Arabidopsis thaliana: one gene and its partner. The protein of the gene in region 2 interacts with the protein of the main gene of each other region in a pairwise test. Each region holds a gene or a part of one and is shown on either strand. Other genes may lie near its edges.

Region 1 (8,226 bases), on a different chromosome or scaffold from region 2:
ACACTCAGATCTCAAGTTTGTCTACTACTCTCCCAAAACCCGATAATATTGTTCTCTTCTTTACGTTTGACCGGTGTCTCCTATCTTCGGTCTTCGCATGAGTTCAATTTTTTAAATAAAGATATTTTGGATATTATTAGTTTGATCATTATTTACATTAAGTTATTTTAATTAAAGCTATATATATCTACAAGATCTTTTTACCACTTTGATCCTCCACCTTCTTTCATAACGTTTATCAGCAATTTTGAATTATCAATTTCCCACTATGAGTATGATAAATATACACTTTTTTCTTCTTTTTTTTTTCACTTCAACATTGCTAATAAGAAAAATGATTACAAGTATTTATTTTCTCTAATCTAAATATACTAAATCAGCAGTCACTTTTCCAATAACTAATGCATTCAGTGATTGACACATCAGCTTAGTACTATTTTTTATTTTTTCATTTTTACGCATAGTATGTGTCGTTTTTATTTAACTTTGTTTCTTTCTCAAATGATTTTCTCTTTCATCCCCACGATCTCCACATCTCCACTTTCTCTCTTCCAAAAACTCCATGACTACTGTGTAAAATCTCAAAAATGGGTTTCTCAACATCATTAATCGATTACTCAGAAATCAGGTACTTTGTTCATCTCAATGAACCAATTTACCATCTTCTATTTCTGTTTGTAATTTTGTTTTATATATATAGAAATTTTCCATAGATCCGAAAATCATATATCCTTCTTCTAGATTTCTATGGTTTTTTTTTTTTTTTGCTTTGTTTCTGCTTTATTTGACTGAATTCGATTTCTCTCATACATCTCCATTTTTCCATAGGATTATTCTTTAATACAATCAATGCCTATGATTCTCCCGTCTCACAAACACTCAAGGAACAACGACAAATTTTGGCTTCTCATCTGAACAGTTGCCTTAAAACAAGGGTGAGTTTAATATCTTAATCGAAGCTCAAGTGTTTTTTTGATGGTAAATTAATTCTCATACTTTTTACTATTCTTCTTTCATCTCTTATTTTACTTCTTTATATCTGCAATTTCTTTTTTGTATTAAACTGCAATTGTATTTTCACGCAAGATTTTTGTATTAATACAAATACTTCAATTTTAAAGTCATCTCTTATTTTACTTCTTTATATCTGCAATATCTTTGATATTGTTTCAAAGGCAGCGTCTGCGTCATGTAGTTACTTATTTGTGCACATTTTACATTTTTTTTTAGACTTCCAAGCTTTGGGTGTCAACGAATGTTTGTAAACTGAATTACTGATGATGAGAAGAAGAACACATTACAATTGGTTGGAGCTAATGATGAAATAAGCGGACATGTATATACCCAGCATAATTTTCGTACTTATACTCTCTTATATTTCTAAACTCTTGATTTGTTAGTTATTGCCTATCGCAATTGATTCATTGGGTAGAAAAGTTGTACCTTCTTTATATCTTTTTCTTAATCTTTGTATATTCTTCGATCAATGATAATAAATTTGTTGTATATTAATACTGTCTGCTTTATTTTAAAATTTTTAGTTAAAAGTTGTAACAGATATAATCTAAAACAATGTTATCCCTAAATAGGGGCCAAATGCTAGTTATATTCTAAATCAGTAAATAATAGTTACTACATGCACACTAAAACAGACATAGCGTACGTGGGGGACTTATTTTGGGAATTGTCACATGTGTGTGAGTCACTCACCACTAGGTTCGATTTATATCTAACGATTTTTCCCGGAAATATTTATGGACGAAAAAGCAAACATTATAAGATTCATTTGTTTGTTTTATATAGTACACAAATAATAGAGAATTAAATCACTAATTTTAATGAAAATTAAAAATAAATAATATATATATATATATATATATATATCTGTTGACGAAAATAAAAGCAAGTATATCCGAATAAAATTACGAATATAATTTAGGGATGAAAATAGAATCTCCTATACAGTTAAGATATTATAAGAATATTCATGGTTAGACTATCTTAGAATTAGATAATTAAGGAAAATTATCGTGATCATCAATTTACAAATTTCATACCTGAATTCATTGTTTAATAAGGTAACCTGTTTATTTTAGTTTTAAAAGTATATCAACAAGAGAACTTTGATCACTAAAAAACAAAATTCATACAAACTTTAATCACTTCCCTATATTGAAATGATCTAATCTGGATGAAAAAAATATTATTTATTAATTTCCCATAAAACAATAAACATGTGGATGTAGCTCTTAAATATTCTTAGAGGCAGAGAATGTCATTTATTCAAATCCGGAAATATATTAAAAATGTTGAACAAAAAGAAAAAGAAATATATTAAAATGACACCGTTTCGCTGGAGACTGCTTGGTGGTGGAATTCACTACAACACGTTAAAGGTGGAACACAACGAATCTGGACCATTGAGTTTAAAGGTAAAGCAATTGAACCGTTAGATGTACGTAGAGTCCAGGCTAGGAAGATGGACCCAACAATTGTACCTTTACCACTTACCTCCACTGGCTTTGAAGCTGTTCCTCTCTCACATAAAAAAAGCAAACACTTAACGAGGAAGAAACACACTCATATCTCCTCACGTTCCCCAATTTTTTGATTTTTATTATCTTTTTGGGTTTTTGGGTTTGGTTAAACCATTTATGGGTCTTTAGATCTCTCTTGATAGTAAAGATAAGTAATTTTAGGGTCTGTTTGGTTCTGTTTCTGGAAATTTCACTTTTTTCACTTTTTTGGGATCACATTTAGCTTTTTTTGGTTCCTTTATTTTGTAACGCCATTTATGCGTTAAACTTGTGTGAAGTGTTTGTTTGGTCTGAGCTGGAGATGGTGAGAATCTCACTGCTTTTGTTGTGTTTACTGGTTTCAACTTGTCTCTTCACTTCTTCATCAGCACAAGCTCCAGGTAATTGACTGCTTCTGAGTACTTTTTGATGTTTCCTTGTTGAAATAGTTGGAAAGATTCTATTTTTATGTGATGTAGTAGTAACAAGGATTTTTGAAAGTTTAGGCTTTTGTTAACAAATCTCAAGAGCTGGTGGTGTTTGAGATTTGTGTGTAGTTATGCTCATATATGTTTGTTTAGTTAGATTGAAGTAGGGAAAAAGGGAATGGTAACACAAAGAATCAAACTTTTTTTTTTTTTTGGGTAAGGCAGGTTTTGTGAGCTTGGATTGTGGAGGTGCAGAGCCATTCACTGATGAACTTGGACTCAAATGGTCACCTGATAATCATCTCATTTATGGAGAAACCGCTAATATATCGTCCGTTAACGAAACAAGAACTCAGTACACGACTTTAAGGCATTTCCCTGCTGATTCAAGAAAGTATTGCTACACTCTCAATGTCACGAGTAGGAATAGATATCTCATTAGAGCTACTTTCTTGTATGGTAATTTCGACAACAGCAACAATGTGTATCCCAAATTCGATATCTCCCTCGGGGCGACTCATTGGGCGACCATTGTTATCTCTGAAACCTATATAATCGAAACTGCAGAACTGGTGTTTCTGGCTTCTTCTCCTACTGTTAGTGTTTGTTTGTCAAATGCCACAACTGGACAGCCGTTTATATCTACTCTTGAGCTTAGGCAGTTGAGTGGTTCGATGTATGGTTCGATGCTATCTGAAGACCGGTTTTACCTGAGTGTTGCAGCACGGATAAATTTCGGGGCTGAAAGTGAAGCTTCTGTGAGGTCAGTATACAGTTCATAATCTGTTTGTTGTTTCAGCATTGTGATTTATCAGGATGAGTTAAGGAAATGAGTTGGTATTGCAGGTACCCGGATGATCCGTATGATAGAATATGGGAATCTGATTTGCAAAAGAAGCCTAATTATCTTGTGGATGTTGCTGCTGGGACTGTGCGAGTGTCGACTACATTGCCAATCGAAAGCAGGGTCGATGACAGACCGCCTCAGAAGGTTATGCAGACGGCTGTGGTTGGAACAAACGGGTCCTTAACTTACAGAATGAACCTAGATGGCTTCCCTGGTTTTGGTTGGGCATTCACATACTTTGCTGAAATCGAGGATTTGGCTGAGGATGAGTCAAGGAAGTTTAGATTAGTTCTACCTGAGCAGCCTGAGTATAGCAAATCGGTTGTTAACATCAAGGAAAATACACAGAGACCGTATCGCGTTTATGCACCTGGCTATCCTAACATAACACTTCCATTTGTGCTAAACTTTCGATTTGCCAAAACGGCTGATTCTTCTAGGGGACCTATTCTGAATGCCATGGAGATCAGCAAATATTTGCGGAAAAGCGATGGTTCAGTAGATGGTGAGTACAACTAGCCCCTCCTCTTAGTGTTGTGGCCTCACATTTGATTCTAAGATGATTGCTTGTATTGCAGCAACTGTTATGGCTAATGTGGCATCGCTATATTCTTCCACTGAATGGGCTCAAGAAGGCGGTGACCCTTGTTCACCCTCACCGTGGTCATGGGTGCAATGCAATTCGGATCCACAACCAAGGGTTGTTGCTATGTAAGGAAGTCTATCTTAGTACCTTTATTTGCAATATGTCTTTTTGTCTGCATATTTCAACTATGTTATGCTTCATTCTTTCTGCAGCAAGCTGTCGAGTATGAACTTGACGGGAAATATACCTTCTGACCTGGTGAAATTGACTGGTTTGGTTGAGTTGTAAGTTACTTATTTCTTAGACTTTTGAATTTGGGATTATATAGAGATATTCTCTTTACTGATGTTGCAACTTTTGTCAATGGCAGATGGCTTGATGGGAATTCTTTTACGGGTCCAATACCGGATTTCTCTCGGTGTCCAAACCTGGAGATAATGTAAAATCACTTTCTTTGGAGTTTATATATTTTTTCTTGCCTTCATCTAACTATAAATATATAATGGACTGTGGCAGACACCTCGAGAACAACCGACTAACCGGAAAGATCCCTTCCTCGTTGACGAAACTCCCAAACCTGAAAGAACTGTATGCTTTTTTTAAAGGATAGTTTGATATATTAATTTGTGTGGTGGGGATGACCTTTTAATCTACATTCTTATGCACCCAACCTGCTTTATGATTGCAGGTACCTGCAGAACAATGTGTTAACAGGAACAATACCATCAGACCTGGCCAAAGATGTGATCTCAAAGTAAGTATATTGTCGGATTTAAACTGCTTTTGCATGAATAGTTCCTAGCTAGATCTTCTCAGTAACACATGTATTCTTCTTCCTTCAGCTTCTCTGGGAACCTTAACCTTGAAAAAAGTGGAGATAAAGGCAAGAAGCTCGGTGTCATCATCGGTGCATCAGTTGGTGCTTTTGTTCTGCTAATTGCAACCATCATTTCTTGCATCGTCATGTGCAAAAGCAAGAAGAATAACAAGTTGGGAAAAACTTCGGGTATGTTATATTTCTTCAAGTATACCGGTTTCATAGTGTATCTTGATTTTGAATGAATATGCTTACCTTTTTTCTTGGGTTTATTTCAGCAGAGTTAACGAATCGTCCCTTACCGATTCAGAGAGTTTCGTCTACCTTGAGTGAAGCTCATGGAGACGCTGCACATTGCTTCACACTTTATGAGATCGAGGAAGCCACAAAAAAATTCGAAAAGAGAATTGGGTCGGGAGGTTTTGGAATCGTATACTATGGTAAAACAAGGGAGGGGAAAGAGATTGCTGTAAAGGTTCTTGCAAATAATTCATATCAGGGAAAGAGAGAGTTTGCAAACGAGGTAAATCTGCCTTAGTCTAAAACCATGTGCCTAAGTATCTAGTTTTATTTTATTTTGCTTAGGAAGTAACACAAGTGATTATGGTTTTTTCAGGTTACATTACTCTCAAGGATACATCATCGGAACCTTGTGCAGTTTCTTGGTTATTGCCAAGAAGAGGGAAAAAACATGCTTGTGTATGAGTTCATGCACAATGGGACTTTGAAGGAGCATCTTTATGGTAACATATCTTTTTATGATAGGATGGTATATTTCAGCCTTTTGGCTTAACATTATGATAACAAGTGGATTTATTTTCAGGCGTGGTACCACGTGACCGGAGAATCAGTTGGATTAAAAGGCTTGAGATAGCTGAAGATGCAGCCCGAGGTCCGTGAATTGTACAACAAAACAGAAAGCCATTTTTTCGATATTTGATTTTGTTGGTTTTGATTGTTTCTGTAGGGATCGAGTATCTTCACACAGGGTGTGTTCCAGCAATCATACATAGAGATCTCAAGACTAGTAACATCCTACTTGACAAACACATGAGGGCAAAGGTTTCAGATTTCGGTTTGTCGAAATTCGCAGTTGACGGGACCTCACATGTCTCCAGCATTGTCCGTGGCACAGTTGGATATCTTGACCCCGAGTAAGCTAAGACTTAAACTAATACCAAGAACTTCAGATAGATTCACCAAAACTAGCATAATATCAAGAACTCACATATTTTCTTTATTCGATGTTAAAGGTACTATATATCGCAGCAGTTAACAGAGAAGAGTGATGTATATAGCTTCGGAGTCATTCTTCTTGAGCTAATGTCTGGCCAAGAAGCCATATCGAATGAAAGCTTTGGTGTCAACTGCCGGAACATAGTCCAATGGGTTAGTTCAACTTTTTTTTTGTGTGGTTACGCTTTGTTTGGATATATGTAATATGGAATCATAACGGTTTATAAATTATCGCTTGGTAACGGTTTTTGTAGGCTAAGATGCATATAGACAACGGGGACATCCGAGGGATCATCGATCCAGCGCTAGCGGAAGATGATTACAGTCTCCAATCAATGTGGAAGATTGCGGAGAAAGCGTTGCTGTGTGTGAAACCGCACGGGAACATGAGACCTTCGATGTCCGAGGTGCAAAAAGATATCCAAGACGCGATTAGGATCGAGAAGGAAGCGTTGGCTGCAAGAGGCGGTATATCAGACGAGTTTTCCAGGAGCTCGGCTCATTCGTCTTCGCTCAACATGGGAATGCTTGACCTGGCTGGATCACAGAGTTATGTATCCATTGATGAATCAGTATTGCAGCCAACAGCTCGGTAGTAGATTCGGCTTTGTTTGTACAGATGCATTACTTGCTTGTGTTTTTGACCTTTCACATTGTCTCTGGTCTTTAGTTATTAGTTTTGAGCTTAACACTACTTTTTTTTCTTTCTTTTGGACTCGAGGTTACAAGAAGTGCTTCGAGTTTGTTTGTTTTTCTTTTATTGTTTTCAGACTAACTCGGTGATTTATGTGGGATTGTGATATATTATGTTTTCTTTTAACTGATTTTCACATTTTCAACTGATTATATAGGATGATGTTTATGCTCTCGTAGAAATAAGTTCTATAGGTTATTGACACATTCGAGATTCAGGCGCAGTTGTGTTAGTAGTGGTCAAACCAAACCCACGAGTTACTTCTCATGATACAGTAGGTTAATAAAGGGCTTGAATGGTGTACACTTTTATTTTACGTTTTGAAAACATAATTCTGATAAATACATGTTATTCTAAAAAATTTACGCTAAAATTATAGAACATGAATTTAAACACTATAATCTATAACTATATTTTTTTTAAAACATTGATTTAATGATATGGGATGTTTTTCTCAGTGCTTATAAGCCAAAAAATATGTTGGTAATCTCAAAAAAAAAACCTTGAAAACAAGGAGGCCGATCAGGGTTCTTTGGGCTTTGGAATCGAGAAGTTTGATCAATGTTCTCTTGGTACAGCCTGATGATGAGGCCCCATTAGAAAAGCTATTTCATACTCCAGAGTCCATATCTGAATGTACAAGGTTTTTAAATGGAGAAAAGCCTATAGAAGAAATTGTTGACTATACTTCTTCTTGTACTAGCTGGGAAACTGATACTGACTATACAGATACTGAGAAAGAAGAGTCCAATGTTCTCTTGGTACAGGATACTGATACTGAGAAAGTGGAGTCCAATGGTCTCTTGGTACATGATACTGATACTGAGAAAGTGGAGTCCAATGTTCTCTTGGTACAGCCTCATGATACAGAAAAGGTGTTTCCTACTTCAAGCTCAGTATCTGATTGTACAAGCCTATTAGATGGAGGAAAGCCGCCTATGGACCAAAGCGTAAGCTCACAAGGTGTCGACAATATTACTGCGTGATCTATTTTTTATTTTATCTTTGTTTATGCACGCGTTCTCCGTTTTGCTCTATGTTTTTCTTTTCTTCTCTCCCAATTCTATATCGTGATCTCAGTCGAAACCATGAGTGAAGATTT
Region 2 (11,792 bases):
GTTCTTTCATGAATCCCTTGTGCTTCCAATTTGATGACTATTATTAATACAATAATACATCTTCTTGATATACATACAGGGTACTATATCATTTGGATTGGGTTTCTTGTTGGTTGTGTTTGGATGGCCTATTTTCGGTTTGCTTCTTGAATCATATGGGTTCCTTGTGCTCTTCAGGTGGGTTTTCTTCTCCTCAACAACATTTAATGGTTTTACTAATTCATTTCTAGTTTTGATTTGCTGACTCATGTCTTTCCTTTATTCTTCTGTAATTTTAAAGTGGTTTCTGGCCTACACTTGCCGTCTTCCTTCAAAGGATACCTCTATTAGGCTGGCTTTTGCAGCAACCATACATCAGATCGGTACATTCATTGCAACTTCTCTCTGTTTTACTATTTAGACTTATTTGCCTTATCCAATCAAACTTTTACCAACTATATATATTGGTCACTGAATCAGTTGCTGGATCGCTACCGTGGAAGGCGTGTCCCTGTCTAAACCTTCTTTGCCTTTCTTTCTTTCTTTTTGTGTGCGAATTGACCACTATCCAATTATGAAGCTTAACATGGCATTTAGAGTTCTTAACACTCTCTAGTCTCTTGTATCATATTTGACATAATTGGACTGTACAAAAACAAATACCTTTTGTATTTTATTTTAAATTTACAAAATTTTACATATATGTAATTAGAAACCTGATTTAGCAAATTAGAGCAATCAGAAACATTCATGAATGCCAAAATATATACGCAAAGTAACCTTCAAAGTTTGTTTCACATCGACACTTATTATAAGTTAACTGTAATTAAATGTTGGTTCGTCTACTGTACACATCTCCAGTACTATAGTGAAAAATAATTCACAGCTCTTGTAAACGTTATTATTCACAATTTTAATTAGAACAACAACAAAAAACATTTTAAAAATCAAGAATTCCATGCTAAAAGCACGTTTCATGATCTCACCTACTCAAAGGTCCAACGGATTTGAAAAAAAAAAAAAAAATGACCACTGATTAATATCCACAGCAGACAAAGGCACTCATAAACATTTTATAACTTTTGTGGCCTATAAATGCATACATCCACATTCATGTCGGTATTTACAATTTCATATCAATAGTTACGTATAAACATATAATCAGAAAATGGTGGTCAAAGTATATGGGCAGATAAAAGCAGCTAATCCACAAAGAGTATTGCTCTGCTTTTTGGAAAAAGACATCGAGTTTGAAGTAATTCATGTCGATCTCGATAAACTTGAACAGAAAAAACCACAACATCTTCTTCGTCAGGTATATAAGTCACAATATTTTCAGTATTATCACAGAAAACGTGTTATTCATTACGTTGTATACTTGTATTAGCCGTTTGGTCAAGTTCCAGCTATTGAAGATGGATATCTGAAGCTTTTTGGTAAGATACATTCTCAAATATTTTGCTGCTTTTTCTCTTAAATGACTACATGTAGAAAAGCTATTTATATGTTCGATTTATGGTTTCAAGAATCGCGAGCCATAGCGAGGTACTACGCGACAAAGTATGCGGACCAAGGAACGGACCTATTGGGCAAGACTTTGGAGGGACGAGCCATTGTGGACCAGTGGGTGGAAGTTGAGAATAACTATTTCTACGCTGTGGCTCTACCCTTAGTTATGAACGTCGTCTTTAAGCCCAAGTCTGGTAAGCCATGCGACGTCGCTTTGGTTGAGGAGCTAAAGGTCAAGTTCGACAAGGTCCTGGATGTGTATGAGAACCGGTTAGCTACGAACCGGTACTTGGGCGGTGATGAATTCACATTAGCTGATTTGAGTCATATGCCCGGTATGAGATATATCATGAATGAAACCAGTTTGAGTGGTTTGGTTACGTCTCGAGAGAATCTCAACCGGTGGTGGAATGAGATTTCGGCTAGACCGGCTTGGAAGAAGCTCATGGAATTGGCTGCCTATTAATTTGTCTAGTAGTTCTTGTAGTCCTCCGTTAATGGCTTGAGTCAAGCCGCTTGACGCTTGTACTCCATTCAAATATTTGATGATATACTAATTTAAATTTGGATCGTCTAATTTATTGTTGTTATAGGTATAAGAAATATTTTTTAACAGTAAGAAGTACAACAGTTAAATGTAAATATTAGTATACATACATATATGTGTCTAAGTAAATGCCCTTTTATCAAAAAGGGATAAATAAATCAACAAATTTAAAAAGAAAAGAATCAGAAAAAAATAGCAAGACATTTGTAGTATTGCTGAGCCATTAAACTAAAAAGTGTTAGTTTTGTCTTCGTGATCTTCTCAGCTCTTTGTAACCAAGAATCTTTGTCCTCTTCAATGAACAATGTTCTCTCTTCCACATTGTGACTAATAGGATTGACGTGAACTTTCAACGTGTGACAAGGTACGACTTGGTGATATAGAATCTTTGTCGTTTGATATGTCGAGATGAGCATTTGGTTGTTAAATCTAGTTTCTTCTTCAACCACCTCGAATCCCGATGAATCAAGGGTTTCATTTGTATTCACGTCTTCATTATCTTCTATTTGATTCACGTTGTCCTCGTTATATATATCAAACGAGAGAAAATCATCGATATCTATGTTGTCATTGGTATTGTTACCTGTAAATTAAACAATTTGTAATTATCGTTAGATATAGGAAGAGCATCGATCATAACAATCTTGAATTTGAACCCAAATTATATATATATACTCACCATGAAATCCTGGATCTTCGTCAGTATTATCCAAACTCGATCTGATCTTCTGCTCTTTTATATAACCAGTCTTTTCAAATGCATAAATATAATTCTATATGTTAGGTTTAAAATTATATATAAATGGTATATAAAACATACAGCATATATTATTTCAATAGTCTGATATGCATACCTGGTTCATATGACGGTTAGATGTTATTAATTGTTCATCATAATTGCCAACGTGGATCACTTGATCACCAACGCTATTATTGTGGTTGGAGTTACTTGCAGCAAAAGTAAAGTCATCGAAAACGCCATGGTCGTTGTTGTGAGTCATACTCGTGAAGAAATCGGAATCACTAAACGCAGAGTTCTCTACACGCAACGGTGGTAGATATATATTGTGTTGTAACATTGAACATTCGATCTCTGTGTTAACCTGAATGAAAATATAGAAAACCCATTATTAAAAATATGTTATATGTCGATGGTCATGTATCAAACTTTATAGGGTAATCAATGATGGATTTTAAAACTTTGAAATATTAGCTATACCTTATATGGAGTAGGGAACGGTCTATAAGAAGAACCGTAGTATTGTGACCAATCCTCGTTGCTGATTGCGTTGGAGTTAAATCGCTCGTTGCCAAATCGCGGTTGGAATGTGTTTTGAACTTGATGAGTAGTTGAACTGATTTCGAGATCCGAACAAGTGTCAAAACTCGATGAGCAATTACCACTCACATTCGACATCGCGTGGACATATGACCGATGTTGATCTCTTGGCTTAGCTTCAATAACAATCTTTTTGAACACACGACAAAGTGCATATGCGTCCTACAAATATAAAATTCAATTTAGATGGTTTTTCCTAATGCTATGTACAATATTAAAATGATTGTAGTCGAATCCAGTTAGTTAGCAACGAACCTGCATGCCGTATGCAGAAGGCTCACATTCTGTTTCATCAAGTCGATATTCGTGCATGACCCAACCAGTTCTTATGCCATGTGGCGCGCGCCCACGGTAGTAAACCAATGTCTTCTTGGTTCCTATGGCTCGGTCTCTCCAACTAACTCGGCGGTCTTTACCTGTAGCCTTCCAATAACCGCCTTTAGTTGCCCGGTTTGTCCTTGAGCCGTTGGGATACTTCCGGTCTCGTGGGCTGAAGAAGTACCATTCTTGGTCTTTGCTCGGAAGCAAGGACTTCCCTATTATTGAATTCATAATTGATTACTTTAAGTAACGTAATTTATCAGCAGATATTGGATGACGTAAATTAAAATTATGATTCAATTAAGCTGGCATTCATGTTTTCATGAGTTACAATTTTATATTTAAACATTTTTAAAAATTATTTTGACATTTTAATTCCTAAAAGATTTGGTGAAAATGATGAAAAAAATAATAAAATAGTTATTTACAGAACTAGTATGTGTAATTGCACATGTGGTATTTTCCCGGTAGAGACTAAAGTATATTTAGGGTTTCTTCATCAATGCTATATTCTTATTCTTTTCTTCAATCTCTCTTGTTCCTATGGGTTTTAGACAAATAATAATAATTCTTAACGATTACAGATGTTGTAATTTAAATCCATATAAATGAATAATATATGCAGAATTTGATAACTAAAGTAGAATCGCGTAATTAATGTTGATCAGAAATCATATTTTTCAAAAAATTTAAATCATATTTGATTAAGTGGATCTCATGCATAAACAAGGGAAACGTCAAATTAATATTACCTGGTAAGTCCCATGGCTCACACTTGTAAAGATCAACTTCAGCGATAACTTCAAGTTCGATTTCTAGACCGTTGATCTTTCTTTTTAGATAGTAAGTAATTAGTTCCTCGTCTGTTGGATGGAATCGGAAACCTGGAGGTAACGAGACAGGAGCCATATATATAATCTCAAGTTGTTCTTGAAGTTATTTTGTTTGAATCAATTTCAAAGAAAGAAAGAGAGAGAATCGAGACTCGAGAGGAAGAAGAAGAGATTATAGAATAGGTATATGTTTTGTGTTCGTTGAGGGCTTGGAGAGCAAGGTTATATATAAAGAGGTAATGAAAAAGGGAGATGCAAAAGTGAATAAAGGGAAGGTCCCCATCCCAAAATAACATATAATGTTAAAAAAATTCAAAATTTAATTAATATTTACAATTCATCAATTTCTGTCCGACGCATATATAATATTGTTCGAAGTGTTTTTTTTATATTGATAGATAATTAAAATGCTAACAAATAACATGATCACGTGTAGATTCTGGTACTTAACCGGAATAATTAATCAAAAATTGCCGCCCTAAATGTAAACCGTGTTTCTTCATCAATTATATTATCCCATGCTTCTCCGAGAGTGGTCGGTCTGGAATATATGTGCACTTGTCAGATTTCTATTGGTTGCATGGGAGATCGAATCTTGGGTTAACCCAAAACTGTTGCAATCTCTCTTTCTTTTTTTTCTTTTTTTTTTTTGTTATTTGGCGGCACTTCTAACTGAAATAACTGTCTCTTTTGTACCCACTTGCATGCGAATCCTTTGTTTCCCTTCACATTGCCATCCGATCTACGTACATAGATCTTTTTTAAAAATAGATATCTTGATGTTGTAAATTTATACTAGTAGTGTTTTACATTTTATTTTGTCATTTATATATGTCTATTTCTGTTTCTCATATTCATATTGTATATCGTATATCGAATAGAAAGATGAACTCCATTTTATGGTCGTTCCATCAGTTAATGCTCATATATTTTCTAGTGTATTAGGCTGTTAATGTAAGGTTGTGTGATTCGGGAAAAAAAATTGAAATTTCGGAGATTTTGAAACAAAAATTAAAAAATTGAGTGGCCAGAAATCCTTTCCTCTCCATATTTAGTGTCGTCATATAAAATACCAAAACTTTTGTTCCAATATAGAAAAACTATTGACCGAAAGTCCAATTACGTACTCCAAAGACTTATGGATATAAGAAATTATAGTTTGAGTATTTATCATTTTGGTCGAAACTCGAAAGCTATATATAATCATATGAACATACAGTCACATTTGGTGTAGGCGACTATAAAACTTATCTAAAGTTGATTTATCAAAAAAAAACTTATCTAAAATTTGGAAAAATGAAATCGATCAGATATATATATATATATATATATATATATATAAAATTTGAACAAGCATATGGTTTTGAGATGGTTATATGTATGATCATGTGGGATCCAGCAGTTGTGAACATGTGAATAAATCCTTGGAAGCTATTGATGGGCCAACCCAAGAGAATCACTTCTCAGCCTTTCTCATCATCGTCATAACCTTTTTCTCTCATTATTCCAAATTCCATATTCTCTTTCTTCTTTGTATCACCATATATATACACATATATATATATCTTTAATATATCTACAATGTGTACATAGTACATACCCTTCTTGAGACATTTCCCTCACATGAATCCATCTTTTGGTTCTTTACTTAATTCTTTTTAACGTTCACACACATTCTATAAACTAATAACATATTAGTCCTATGATTAGCCCCACCATTAGATTGGGTCATTGCCTCATTGGCAAAAATATATAAATTTGGTTAGAATGAGAAAGTAATAAATTAAAAGTTAATATGTAAAAATCGGTTGAAACTATTATGAAATTTCGGAGTCTACAAGATCCCCAAGACTTAAGACCGTGAAGAAAAATCACGAAATTACATGTAACTTTAGCTATAAAAAAAGAAGTCTAAATGATTATAATGATTTTTTCTCCATTTATTATATGATGAAAACGCGGATCTACAGAATTTAATGTCATTCCAAGATGAAATCGTACGTATGAAAATACACATAAGGAAAGTGTCATTGATTTGTTGAACGATGTGGGCTAAATGGGCTTTCCCGTGGGCCGAGTAACTTATGATCAATCTACAAGCGGTCACGTGAATAAATGGGCTTGACCGTGGGCCGAGGAACTTATGATTAATCTAAAAGCGGTCACGTGATTCCCAGCGGTGAGCGCACGTTAGAATAGTTCCCAGTTCCATAATGAGGCTAAAGTGAGCCGAACCATGTCTGAGAGTCAGAGAGATGAGATCATAAATTAATGGAGATCTTACAAATATGGAAAATTTTAAATACAAAAAATCGAACCAAAGAAGAAGAAGCCTACGGTTGTTCTGTTCCTTTCAATCTCACCAAATTTTCATCTTCACCTTCAATTTTGATAGATTCTCTTCACCGAACCAAATCCGTAACCCTAGCTTCTTCTTAAATTATAGAGAAAAAGAGTTAATTCGAATCTGGATGAAATTGGTTTTGTCTAGATGGAAATCTAGATGTGTCTGATTCCGAAATCTGAGTCTGAGAGATGCTAGGAGCGATTCATTTGGGAGTATTAGCAGCTTGTTTCGTCCTCTTCGTTCCCATGGCAATGGCTGGTTGGCATCTGAGCAGGAACAAGATGCTCTTCTTTAGTGGCGCTTTGTTTATTTCTCTCGCGGTTTGTGTTCATCTCACGCCTTATTTCCCTTCCGTTTCCGACATCGTTGCCTCTGTTTCCTCTGTTGTTGTCTACGATCATCGTATCTCTTGTATCAACGAGGTTAATCAGATTGTCTGGGATGTTAAACCGGTACCGAATCCGGAGTCTGTTCGTAGGAACAATGGCTCAACAAAGCTTGATTATTTCGTGAAGAACTGGGATTGGATGAAATCGAGGAAAGTTTTGAGTTGTGAGTTTCAGAAATTGGATAAGTTCGATGTTTCGGATTTGTTGAATGGATCGTGGGTTGTTGTTGCTGGTGATTCTCAGGCGAGATTCGTGGCTTTGTCTTTGTTGAATCTTGTTTTGGGTTCGGATTCCAAGGCTATGGATTCGGTTAGAGGGGATTTGTTTAGGAGACATAGTGATTACAGCATTGTGGTTAAGGAGATTGGGATGAAGCTTGATTTTGTTTGGGCTCCTTATGAGAAAGATTTGGATGATCTTGTGGTATCTTATAAGAAGATGAAAAAGTATCCTGATGTTGTGATCATGGGAACTGGGTTATGGCATATGCTTCATGTGAACAATGCTTCAGATTTTGGTTTTAGGTTGAGGCAATTGAGTAGTCATGTGGAGTCTCTAGTGCCCCTTACGCCAAAGGAGCAAGAAGGAGGTGGGTCGGTCTCCGGTAGATCTGTGCATCTGTTCTGGATTGGGATGCCGGTTTTGATCAACGGGATGTTGAATACGGATGAGAAGAAGGAGAAGATGAGTGATACGGTGTGGCATGAGTATGATAGATCACTCGGGGAGAGTAAGATCTTACGTCAAATGGGTGGTCCTCTTATCTTGCTTGATATCCAGTCGTTTACCTGGAACTGTGGACCGCAATGTACACTTGACGGGATGCATTATGACTCTGCGGTCTATGATGCCGCTGTCCATGTCATGCTCAATGCGTTGCTTATTGAATCTCATCAATCTTTATGAGTTCTTGACACGTTTTTTTTTTGTTTTTTTTCCTTTTATTTTGTTTGGGGTTCTCTTGTAGAGTTTTAAGAGAAGTGGGATGTTCATAGGAATTTTACAACACACGGTGATCCTTTTGGCCTGAGTGATCTTCACATTGGAGAAGTAAGTGAACTTACATTCATGGCTATAATAGGTTTAATATCTTTTGACTTTGAGAAGTTATAACCTTTAGCTATTCTGATTCTTGTTATATCACAGTACCCTTTTGGATTCTTTTTACGATAAGACTCAGTACTCATCATTAGCTTTAAGCACTTGAAGGAAGCTTTCGCTCCTTAGTAATGTAAACAAATAGATACAATAGTGATGTTTGTGTGATCACTGTTCTTAGTACATTGGTGAGTTTTTGTACCTATGCGTGGGAGAGAGAGAACTATGAAATGCAAAAGTCTGACCCAAGTTCTTTCCTTTTCAACCCTAAAGATAACCTTAGACCAAGATCGATATACTTGCCATCAAAAAATTCTGACCCGGAAAAAAAGAATCATGGGATTGTATCTCAATGTGTCCGTCTCTGTCTCACGGAGTCTCGAATTGTTTCCCTTCGAAGGTCTGTCCATAATTCCAGTTTTTCGGGGAGACATTGTAAGATGTCACGGTTGACCTGTCACTAGAAGTTACTTCAAATGAGAGAGCTTGGTTCCTGAGATCAGCATTAATATGCCAATTTTGTCCCCAATTACGACCCATAGGTAACCACCCGGTTCTCGACCCTTTGATCTTCACAGCAGCTATATCACCGGACCCTGCAACATTGGTGATCAAAACCGAAATGAAAATGCCTCCACCATCGACTGTAAACCGCATGCTCCCTTCCTTTCTACAGTTGATCCTGTTTTGGTAAAAGCCAACAAAAATGGTTGTAAGTCATAACTCATAACTTAAGTGATATGCAACTAACTATTTATAGGCTCAGCTCCAAAACACTTCACAAACTAATAAAGGATCTAATGATCCATTGTATCATGAACCTAAATAGTAGTTTACCGCATTGTGCCTAGAACTTCACAGAAACAGTCAATTTCAGTCCTCTCATGGCTAAGATGAAAATGAGAGCAAAGCTACTCAACTATGATGAGCAAACCTATCTACCATTTCTCAGAATCTTGTACACACTAAGATAAAACGATTAGGGGCAATAAAGTAAATTGCATATTGAGGAAGAGATTTAGGGTAAACCCATCTCACATAATAAAGCACACGGATATCGAAGAAGACACAAAAGCAAAAGCATCGCCGGATTTTTTAAATCGATAGTGGCGTCTAAAAGCAGAACCGCGTTCCCCACCACCGCAAACGCATTTTTTTAACAAAACGCGAAACAAATTGGGAAAAAGCGGAGAGAAACGCACCTTCGATACTGCACCGGCATGTTCCCAGCTTTCCAAATAGCGATCTTCTCAAACGCTTCGATCGGAAGCACGAAATGTTTGTTAGGTGGATTACAATGACCACCACCGTCGGGATCAAATCCGTAATTAGGAGCACAGAAATTCGTAGCGGTGAGTATAATTGAAGTTCCAGGGATACACCAACGGAGATCATCAACACATCTGAGCTCGAAACAAGCACCACAGATCTGACCACGCTCAAACAGAGTCTCGCTTAGACCAACAGTAGCCATACCGTACCCAGATTTGACGAGATCTCCGTATCCACACGCACCGCCCACCGCGTCTCGAGGATTCGTAGCGGCGTAGTAGGTGGCTCGAGCTGGACGCCATTCTGAGGCGTCGGAAGAAACGGAGGACGAAGAAGGTGAAGAGGTTGAGGAAGAGTAATGACAAATCGCCGGCGGCGATAGTGCAAGGAAGAGTAAAGGTAGAAGAAACCGTTGCATCTCTCCGGCGAGAGAGAAAATGCGAATTTTTGATTTTAGAGATTTTGATTTTTGATGATTTAATTTTGGTTTAGTGTTTTTTTCAGTCTTTTAGTGGGAAAACATTTTGCTTTTACCGGTTTGTCGGTTTATATAAAATGACTAAAATGCCCTCAATCGAAATGGGTTAGGGTAAGGCCCAAATCACAAAACCCAAATCTCGTGATCAAAGTGAGGACTTCAGTAACAATTTTGGGTCAACTTTACCTTTCGTTCATGTGTCTCCATCCGACTCTCTCCCATGCTCAAAAAAGTATGTCATGATATTTTTCATTTGGATCAATTTGACATTTGATTTTTTTTTTGTAAACTGTACTATCTGACATACCAGATTTATATAAATTATTGTAAATAGGTTAGATAATGTTCTTTGTCACATGAAACTTACATAGCCATAATTTTTCTTAAACTGATTTTAGATACAAATCTTTTAGAGTTTTTTTTTGTTATAATGTATCTTCCACTAGTCACTACAAGCGGCTTTGATAATGGCTTCAAAATGCCGCTTCTCATGGATAATATAATGTCCACCATCAGGGACCTCATGGAGCTTTATCCATGGCAGTTTATCGCATATATAGAGTAAAACATCGCGTGAAATTTGTTTGTCTTCGAGTGCACACCACATATGAACCGACCCTTTGTTACTATCCGAAAACGGATTCTTCAATTCGGTTGGATCAAATTCCCAATTCCCGTAACCCGCTATGATGTCTTGTTGTGTGGTCACATATCCACCTTGTCGTAAAGCAGACTCCTATAGTAATAATAGCATTCATGCATGAATGTTTACTTCTTTCAAAAAAAAAAAAAAAAGAGAGTGGATCATAAAGTTCGTAATATATATACCTTGATATAAGAGTGTTTGGTATGCTTTTCCGCGAGTTCTAGGTCGCGCTCGGTCATAGTATCTTTGGGATTTCGACTATTCGGGAACCATTTCTGAGTCATCCACCAATATAACAACCATGGAGAGTAGTGTGCGACTCGAAGTGTCAATTGAAATCCAATTGGCAATTTCTTCATCGCTGCATTCAATAAGTTTTGAGGCACACGGCTCCACCAAAAATTCACTAACGGAACAACCAACGAAGCTCCACTGAGCCTATCGATGTTATAAGAAAAACAATTAAGGCTAATATACAAACCACTACATTATAATCTTATTTGTATAAGTGAAATATCTAAGTCGGTCACTTGGTCTTATAGTATAACGTCACTTATGGACTTATGGTAATTAAACGATGAGGATGAAACAAGAGAATTCTTATCACAAATGGATAAAGCAAATGTCTTTTACGTAAGAACTTGTTTTGATAAGTATTGAGAAGTGACCATCACAAATAATATTTCAATTTTTTGATAATGTTCTTAAGAGATAACCGATTGATATATTTACCTATTAGGAATGTATTTGAGGCAACCGTAAACAGGGTAAGCTCCAAGTGACATGCCTATAACGTGGAACTTTGGACCGACTTGCAATTTGTCAGCAAGTTCTTCGATATCGTATGTATCTGTTTTCAGCGTTCGTGTTGGATTAGGATCGCTTTCTCCATAACCAGCTCTATCGAAGAACAAAAAGTATATCTTGAATTCATCAATCATTTCCTGAAAGCCAGAGGAGCGTTATCATTGCAAATAGTATTATTCATTATACATAACAATCATTAATTGTACAAATAAACCACCAAAAAGTAT

Evidence for each region. Proteins that work in one complex are often made in the same cells at the same time.
Region 1: the proteins of AT3G03210 (region 2) and AT2G37050 interact in a protein complementation assay, tested with the Arabidopsis thaliana proteins (one large-scale study listed by BioGRID).

What each region holds. Positions count from the first base shown.
Region 1 is NC_003071.7:15,566,452-15,574,677, forward strand, and holds AT2G37050 (Leucine-rich repeat protein kinase family protein), read left to right. Parts: upstream 1-2,474; 5' UTR 2,475-2,838; coding exon 2,839-2,917; intron 2,918-3,169; coding exon 3,170-3,707; intron 3,708-3,790; coding exon 3,791-4,296; intron 4,297-4,369; coding exon 4,370-4,502; intron 4,503-4,589; coding exon 4,590-4,661; intron 4,662-4,747; coding exon 4,748-4,816; intron 4,817-4,893; coding exon 4,894-4,965; intron 4,966-5,065; coding exon 5,066-5,131; intron 5,132-5,219; coding exon 5,220-5,383; intron 5,384-5,472; coding exon 5,473-5,717; intron 5,718-5,810; coding exon 5,811-5,937; intron 5,938-6,017; coding exon 6,018-6,086; coding exon of another isoform or gene 6,087-6,094; exon of another isoform or gene 6,095-6,161; coding exon 6,162-6,348; intron 6,349-6,447; coding exon 6,448-6,583; intron 6,584-6,684; coding exon 6,685-7,026; 3' UTR 7,027-7,298; downstream 7,299-8,226.
Region 2 is NC_003074.8:733,924-745,715, forward strand, and holds AT3G03210 (Pmr5/Cas1p GDSL/SGNH-like acyl-esterase family protein), read left to right. Parts: upstream 1-6,780; 5' UTR 6,781-7,063; coding exon 7,064-8,170; 3' UTR 8,171-8,386; downstream 8,387-11,792. Other genes in the region: AT3G03180 (Got1/Sft2-like vescicle transport protein family), read left to right, coding at 80-177, 281-557; GSTF11 (glutathione S-transferase F11), read left to right, coding at 1,148-1,294, 1,367-1,415, 1,506-1,954; NAC045 (NAC domain containing protein 45), read right to left, coding at 2,218-2,618, 2,715-2,784, 2,890-3,138, 3,255-3,536, 3,630-3,910, 4,448-4,604; EXPA13 (expansin A13), read right to left, coding at 8,732-9,044, 9,565-10,052; AT3G03230 (alpha/beta-Hydrolases superfamily protein), read right to left, coding at 10,555-10,848, 10,941-11,196, 11,491-11,702. UniProt on the Arabidopsis thaliana protein: Component of the plant cell wall polysaccharide acetylation pathway. Does not directly catalyze O-acetylation of xyloglucan but exhibits weak acetylesterase activity in vitro.